Linked DNA regions of Xenopus tropicalis. The main gene of each other region encodes a partner of the protein of the gene in region 2 in a complex. Links are inferred from orthologs where the notes say so. Each region holds a gene or a part of one and is shown on either strand. Other genes may lie near its edges. The genes, in order: insr and grb14.

The links.
Region 1: the proteins of grb14 (region 2) and insr are in contact, whole or in part, in a crystal structure (PDB 2AUH), measured with the Homo sapiens proteins. The link is inferred for Xenopus tropicalis from reciprocal best matches to the Homo sapiens genes GRB14 and INSR. Residues at the interface, in NP_004481.2 of Homo sapiens: Glu373, Asn374, Ser375, Leu376, Val377, Ala378, Met379, Asp380, Phe381, Ser382, Ser386, Val388, Ile389, Glu394, Val398, Ala399, Glu401, Glu402, Gly403, Leu404, Trp406, Arg407; in NP_000199.2 of Homo sapiens: Leu1065, Arg1066, Ile1069, Glu1070, Lys1112, Arg1116, Arg1163, Met1180, Arg1182, Tyr1190, Lys1192, Gly1193, Gly1194, Lys1195, Gly1196, Leu1197, Leu1198, Pro1199, Val1200, Trp1202, Ser1207, Leu1208, Lys1209, Asp1210, Gly1211, Gln1235, Asn1242, Glu1243, Leu1246.

The regions. Positions count from the first base shown.
Region 1 is NC_030677.2:111,781,907-111,785,732, forward strand, and holds part of insr (insulin receptor), read right to left. Parts: intron 3,426-3,826; coding exon 3,178-3,425; intron 3,077-3,177; coding exon 2,909-3,076; intron 2,409-2,908; coding exon 2,213-2,408; intron 1,692-2,212; coding exon 1,417-1,691; intron 693-1,416; coding exon 550-692; intron 437-549; coding exon 277-436; intron 1-276. UniProt on the Homo sapiens protein: Receptor tyrosine kinase which mediates the pleiotropic actions of insulin.
Region 2 is NC_030685.2:70,838,360-70,842,185, forward strand, and holds part of grb14 (growth factor receptor-bound protein 14), read left to right. Parts: intron 1-1,997; coding exon 1,998-2,108; intron 2,109-2,285; coding exon 2,286-2,381; intron 2,382-3,826. UniProt on the Homo sapiens protein: Adapter protein which modulates coupling of cell surface receptor kinases with specific signaling pathways. Binds to, and suppresses signals from, the activated insulin receptor (INSR). Potent inhibitor of insulin-stimulated MAPK3 phosphorylation.

The DNA.
Region 1 (3,826 bases), on a different chromosome or scaffold from region 2:
AATGCTAATTAATGCCATTTTTCCTATTACATTGCTGCAATACACTAAAACAGCCTACACCATATTGCAGGTTTTATTATGACTGATTTATTATGACTACTGAAATCTGACAAATATGTTTTACCTCTAATACCTCTAAGAGCAAAAGCATACTAAGAGAAAACTAATTAGCAATGTATGCATACAAATAAAATACATAAGAGCTACAGCATAACAAAAGAAATAAGTATAAACACAAGCAAACCGTCCCTAAACATAAAAAATATTTTTACTTACGGTGGTCTGGCACTTGGAAGTAGGCTGGTTCTGTCCATGATCCATTGCCTGCCAGGGAGGTTGCACGGATCTTTACACTGTAATTCCCTGGGGTTAATACCCTGAGTTTTGCCCCTTTGTCTGTGCTATACTGCTTCTGTGACACGCAGCTAATCACTTCCTGCAATGGGGAATGCAGAAAGAAAGCACAGTTTGACTACTGTTGTGGGATACTCCAAGAAAATAAATCATTCTACAAAAATATTCAAATCTGAAGAGGCCCTGAAATCTTACCTCTGTGCCCCCAACTCGGGAGTAATGCACCTCATACAAAACTATTAGCCCATTTGGATCTTTTGGTTCTTGCCATTTTAAATGGATTATATTAGGTTCAATATACTCATAGGTGATGGGTCCCACAACATTGTCGGCAGTGGCTATAAAAAAAGAAAACAAAAACATATCTATGAGAGTTCTGACACATTTCTATCCATTTACATAGGAAATAAGCAGGGGTTATCTAGCTAAGGGCTCTGGAACACGAGGGAGATTAGTCGCCCGCGACAAATCTCCCTTGTTGCGGGCGACTAATCTCCCCGATATGACATACCACCGGCAAAGATGTAAATCGCTGGTGGGATGATGTACGCAGCGCCGCGATTTGCGAAAATCGCCAAAGTTGCCTTAAGAGGCAACTTCGATGATCACGCCGCCACATATGCCATCCCACCGGTGATTTACATGTCATGTCATATCATATATTATATATATTATATCATCATATATTAGTCACCCGCAACAAGGGAGATTTGTCGCGGGCGATTAATCTCCCTCATGTGCCAGAGCCCTATGTGCATAACAGATAATCTCACAACGGCATAGCAAACTGGACAAGAAAGGATTCCAGTGAATGGCATTCCAACAAGAACAGGTACCCACTGGAATAGGTGATTTTCAACTCTTTAATAAAGATTTCAACTTCTAACAGCACAGATATGCAAACATGTAAGATGGTGGCTTACCTATACACGTTATTTAATATACATTGTATAATGCACCCGGAAGTTTGATAAATGTATACAAACCTTAATTACAAGGTTTATGCAGTTTCAGAGACTGAAACAAAGATAAAATTGTGAACTGAGCACCAAAAAGGCTTACCCTCTGGCATTGTCCTTGCACTAACATATGCTGCCACGCTACATCCCATGGAGAGTTCGTGGTTGCAGGCATGAATCTCAATGCGGTAACCAGTAAAATGCTTTAAGCCAGTGACCATTAGAGACTCCTTAAACCAAACTTTCTGTGAATATATCTTTGGCTCTGTTTCATCCGGAGCACGGGTGGAGGAGGCATTGAAGAGAGAAGGGGCTGTCACTGGGTCTGGCAGAGTTCCATTGGCTACTCCAAATAGTTCACGCCGTTTTCGAACAGGTCTGCAAAACACATGGTTTTCTGACTTACAAATGCATAGAAAAGAGGGAGCTAGACACATAAAGAAATTAGTCTTGGTTTCTCATACATTACTTATCTGCCTTGAATTGTACCCTACTGGTACAGAGGCTGATAAGGCTCTTTCTTAAAGAGTATTATTTTAGGGCAGGAAATAATCCCCTAAACTCCACCCCTGCTAGGAATTATGGACTCTAGATCATTATGTAGAGTTGTTTGAAAAAGTCAAACTTGATAGAAAAAAACTGGTGGAAAAAAGGCAGATGGGACCGAAACCTGTCACACGTGTGGACATTGACATGATCTTTCTAATACCTGCCCTGTGTGCACAGAATTAGAGACAAATTCCCATCCTGTCAATATGCACACATATATAGCATTTTAGGCCCCATCTGCTTTTCTTTACCGGTGTTTTTTTGCCAGCTGAGAGAAAGCATAGTATGCCACAGGCCTTGTAACTATTTCCCTTTCTTGGTGGCTCTTATCTCTTATAAGTTTTTCTCACCTAGGTATAAAAACTTCATTATGTAGATAATTTTCAAATGTTTTTCTGAATGCTGATTCATCCTGTTCTTTCTGGATTTGGAAATCAGTTTTGGGACAGGGACAGCACTTGGATGAAGGTTGGTCTGTCTGATTTATATTTCCATTTTCCTCAATATCCGAGGGAGGAGTCCAAGTTCTGGAAGGCAACTTAAGACCTACAGGAAAAGAGATAAGGGAATTAGCCTCTTAGGCATTTTATGCATGGAATGTGTAAAAAGAATCTTAGTGCAAGGGCACATGGGGCAGATTGTCAACCTGCACATGCAGCTCATATCCACCAACAAACGCCAAGTCTCGAGTTTGATGGTGGATATCAGCTGCGTGTGCCCGCACCAATTCAATGATTTTGGTGCAGGCACAACTGGAAGATTATTTAAGCATAAGGGTGGACTGTAAGCCTGCACTTATCGGCACCCTTGCCCTGGCCCTTAACCCCACTCCTGCAGACTTGTGCTCAGCTGGCAGATCTGCATAACAATTATCAGTGTTTGTACTTGAAAGCCATTTTTACTAAACATCTATATAGTTCTGATTATTAGAACTTCTGTTAATGTAGGTCTGAAGCATCCTCATTAGAATACATACTTCCACTATATGCTGTTCACACTATTACTAAAGGTAAGTAGATGATAGCACATTTGTGCAAACTGTTTACCTTTATTGCAGTAATCCAGCTCATAAAGTTCACTGTCTTCAGGTTGTTCTTGCCAGTACACAAGGTAGTGAGTGACATTTCCATTGGGCTCAGAAGGTGGTTTCCATTTTAGAATAATCTGAGAGGTTGAGTTGGACACAGAGAAAGGATCCAGAGGAACAGAGGGGACTGTGTAATAAATATAATAAGTTATGACAGATATACCAATACCTTGCATTTTATATTTCTGCCTCATATAAAATTAGTTAAAAGTTTCTTAAAATACTTACTGGTTTCATTGGTACGAATATAGATAATTTTGCTTTTTGCACCATAAGTTCTTCCTTCATCTGATCCGGATACCAGTGTTTTAACAAACACTGCATACTGAGTCCATGGTTTCAGGTTACGGAGCAAACATCCCGGAGATAGAGTCTTGCCATCAGCACTTCGTTCTGGGGCATCCATATCTACCACTGTCCAACTATTGGAACCACAAGCATCCTGACCATCAAATTCTGTGACATTCTGGTAGGGTCTGGTATAAGGAAAGAAGCATTTTAGTGTGTAGGCTCTAAAACAGGCTTGAGAAACTTTTTCTTTTGATCTCACAAGTTATGTCTCTACAAATATGTTCCTTATGTTAATTTTTAATATCGGTGAATGTGAAATGTAATGTAAAAATCTTGTGAAAAAATCTGTATCTACAAACCAAAAATAGAACTCTATAAATGCAGTGCCAAACTTATTTTTATGTCCACAGAAAACATATTTGTGCAAATGTAATTGCTACTGAAAGCAGTATTTGGCTGTCTGTTTACTTTCTTTGCACTCCTGGCTCTGACCTCTGAAATAATATTGAAGGCCAACTTAATTAAAGGAGAAGGAAAGGCAGCATAACTGGGTGACATTTAATTTAACATTTGTCACCACCCACCA
Region 2 (3,826 bases):
AGACATAATGCATCAATCAGATTCAGTACATGCACCAGTCCCCTTGTACTACTCGATCCCCAAAAAGTCTCTAAATTCTTTATAGGTTTATGATTGATTATCAATAATGAAAAGTCCAGCACTGGAATCTTCATACCCTAAGCACAGAGTGAAAATAAAGTTCATGTTTTACTGCCAGTCTGTGCTAAAATCTAACCTACATTGTTCTCATAATGCCCATCGAAATACATTTACATTTTGTTAACGTTTTTTTTTAAATAATTTTTACTAAGGAGTTATGTTCTACAGATACCTCTAGAAAGAGGCAGAATGCAGACATTTCCAGTGTGAAAGAAACTGGCATTGGTAGTATCTAGGGTTGTAAATTCTACTGATCAAAAACTTAATTATAAATGTAAAATAATTGACCAATGAGAATGTGGATTCCCATCACTGTGCCAGGCATCTTGCTGGTATCTTACATATAGAGATAATTATGTCATTTTTTTCCCTTCATTATAAGACAAAGGAATCAGACATGGGGATAAAGGACAGACTTGTTCAGTGCTGGGAAACTGTGCTTAATGCTCCCAACTCCAATTGCTGGAACAGAGAACATGGAAATCCAAAAAATAGGAAAAAAGCTTCAGCAGGTTTACTGCAAAACATTTATTGTGGGTAGTGGTAACATGACATGTTTTGGGTCAATACCCGAATAAATAAATGTTTTGCAGTAAACCTGCTGAAGCTTTTTTCCTATTTTTTGGATTTCTACAATTGTATTTGGTTGCAGCACAGAGCAACAACTAGGAACTAAAGCTTTTTTTCGCAAGTATTTTATACAAAGTTCACCAATCATTTTTTATTTTTGAACAGAGAACATGGAGCCAGATTTACACAGATCAGCTGGGATTCTCATTGGAGGATTTCTTGCATTTTAATGCAGCCGCTGGTCCTGGAGATTTCAGGGAAAGTTTTGTAAAAACTTTATTGTGCAATATTGCTTTAAGAATAAAACCCTGATGTTACTGAACTACAGCCTCAACCTTCATTATATGTTACATTATTCTGGGATTTGTAGTCCAGCAACAGCTGAGTAAAATTTGGTTGAGCAGTGCAGCACAGCAGGGTTTAGTACCCCTTTAAATGGAGGTAAACCAATAAGGCTGATGCCACACATGGCGTAGGGCTGATTTTTTCAGCAAGCCGAAAATTCAGCCCTACGCCTGCTACTTGTGCCTGCACCCGAATGAATGAGATACGCTCGGGTGCAGGCACATGTAGCCGATATACGCATGAAAACACGTGAGAATGCATAGTCTCACTTTTTCATGCGTATATCGCAGGGGGCTCAAACTCAATTTACCTGGGGGCCGCAGGAGGCAAAGTCAGGATGAGGCTGGGCCGCATAAGGGATTTCACAAAAAATTGGCTTTCAAGGGATAATGCAAGGCACGGCGGGCGGGAGCTGCTGATTGCGGAAATGACGTTATGCCATCATAACAGTTATTATGGGAAGACGTTCTGTGTGCACAATTAGCTCCTTAGCAGCTAATTGTGCACACAGAACGTCTTCCTATAATAACTGTTATGATGGCATAAGGTCATTTCCGCAATCAGCAGCTCCCGCCCGCCGTGCCTTGCATTATCCCTTGAATCGCAATAAAAATCGTGATCCATTCATTGCTTTTGAGAAGGCGTTGGTGCGGGCCACAAAATATTGTACGAAGGGCCGCAAATGGCCCGCGGGCCGCGAGTTTGAGACCCCTGGTATATCGGCTACATGTGCCTGCACCCGAGCGTATTCCATTCATTCGGGTGCAGGCACAAGTAGCAGGCGTAGGGCTGAATTTTTGGCAAGCGTTTTTCCGCTTGCCGAAAAAATCAGCCCTACGCCATGTGTGGCATCAGCCTAAAGGACAGTAACATACATTTCAGTATAAATAAAAGTAAACAACCCTATCTTGTATGTTTCAAATATCAATGGAATTTTGAATTTCATTTTGTATTCGATTTAGGATCCGCGTCATCTACAGTTTTTTACTGATTTTCACCAAAGTGAAGCTTATATGTTACTCTCAGGGAGAAAGCTTTATGGAGCACCAACAGACTATGGGTTCTGCCTTAAGGTACATTTTCTGCTATTTTATATTGGTACCCTTGCTATTAAAAACTGGCTTTGTTCAGAAACTGGCCGGGTATATTGATGTTTTTCCTGTTTTACATAGGAGAATTTTAGTTGCTTTTATTTCAACAGGTATTGCCTTCAAGATATGCATTAATCACAATGTGCTGTGGCCTTCTAGCCTAACAAGACAGGAGGTTCCAAGGAGCTGAAATTGTTTTGTGCAGACAATGAAGAGAGCAAAATCTGCTGGGTGACGGCAATTAGATTGTTCAAGGTAACATTTTTCTGTAGTTTATTTCCAAATTACCTTTTCCTGTAAATGATGCCCTCAGTAAAAAATGGAGACACTACTATTAGTTCTTATTTTAATGCAAGATAAATATATCTGTGAATTGCCTGACTGAACTGTATCTAGTAGAATTAAGTCTAAACAACTTCGAGTTTTTTCTTGAAAACGTTATCTGTTATGTGCCTGTGCCTTTTCTCCTTTCAATGGCTGCCTCCATGGCTACATAGCAGCTTATTTATATAAATTATAGTAGACTTTCTGAAGTAAACACACAATTTTTACCAGTGCAGGGCAGCAGCACATTATATTTTAGTTACTTTTATACACTTTCATTTTTTGGTGTTACTGTTCCTTTAAATGCTGGGGAATTCCCTACCACTCAGTTGAACTGAAGAAGCCACTTGGATGAGTGGTGAAACGTTTTCAAGAAAAAACTCCAGTTGTTTAGACGTAATTCTACTAGATATTGTATATCATGACCTGGATGAATGAGAATCTTCATAGATTCTTGGATCTTGTGAATTTTTCCAATTCAACCACATATCACACATATAAAGTCCCTATTCTGACTCATACTTGTGTGTTTAGATCAGTTTTAGATCTGATTCTCTCTTGCAAATTAAATTTGACTCTGATTTTAAATACATTGATGCAAACAGTTCAGTCTCTGATTAGCTACAAAGTTCAGCTCCCTCTGGCTAAAGGTAGATTTCGAAGAATGAGGATGAGCTCAGCCTGCAGGGTTTAAATTCACTTACAGTACAAACTGCGGCTGCCCTTTTATTGTTTAGGGTGACAGGTTTAGACTAATGGGACTTCTGTAGGTTTCTCTGCAAGTGGAAAAACACCCAAACCTAGTTACTTCCCTTGTTTCCCATTGATGATAATAGAAGCTCACCTATTCCCCTTGTCATTGATTATAATAGAAGCTCAACCGTTCCCCTTGTCATTGATTATAATAGAAGCTCAACCGTTCCCCTTGTCATTGATTATAATAGAAGCTCAACCGTTCCCCTTGTCATTGATTATAATAGAAGCTCACCTGTTCCCCTTGTCATTGATTATAATAGAAGCTCACTCGTTCCCCTTGTCATTGATTATAATAGAAGCTCAACCGTTCCCCTTGTCATTGATTATAATAGAAGCTCACCCGTTCCCCTTGTCATTGATTATAATAGAAGCTCACCCGTTCCCCTTGTCATTGATTATAATAGAAACTCACCCGTTCCCCTTGTCATTGATTATAATAGAGGCTCAGCCGTTCCCCTTGTCATTGATTATAATAGAAGCTCACCCGTTCCCCTTGTCATTGATTATAATAGAGGCTCACCCGTTCCCCTTGTCATTGATTATAATAGAAGCTCACTCGTTCCCCTTGTCATTGATTATAATAGAAGCTCACTCGTTCCCCTTGTCATTGATTATAATAG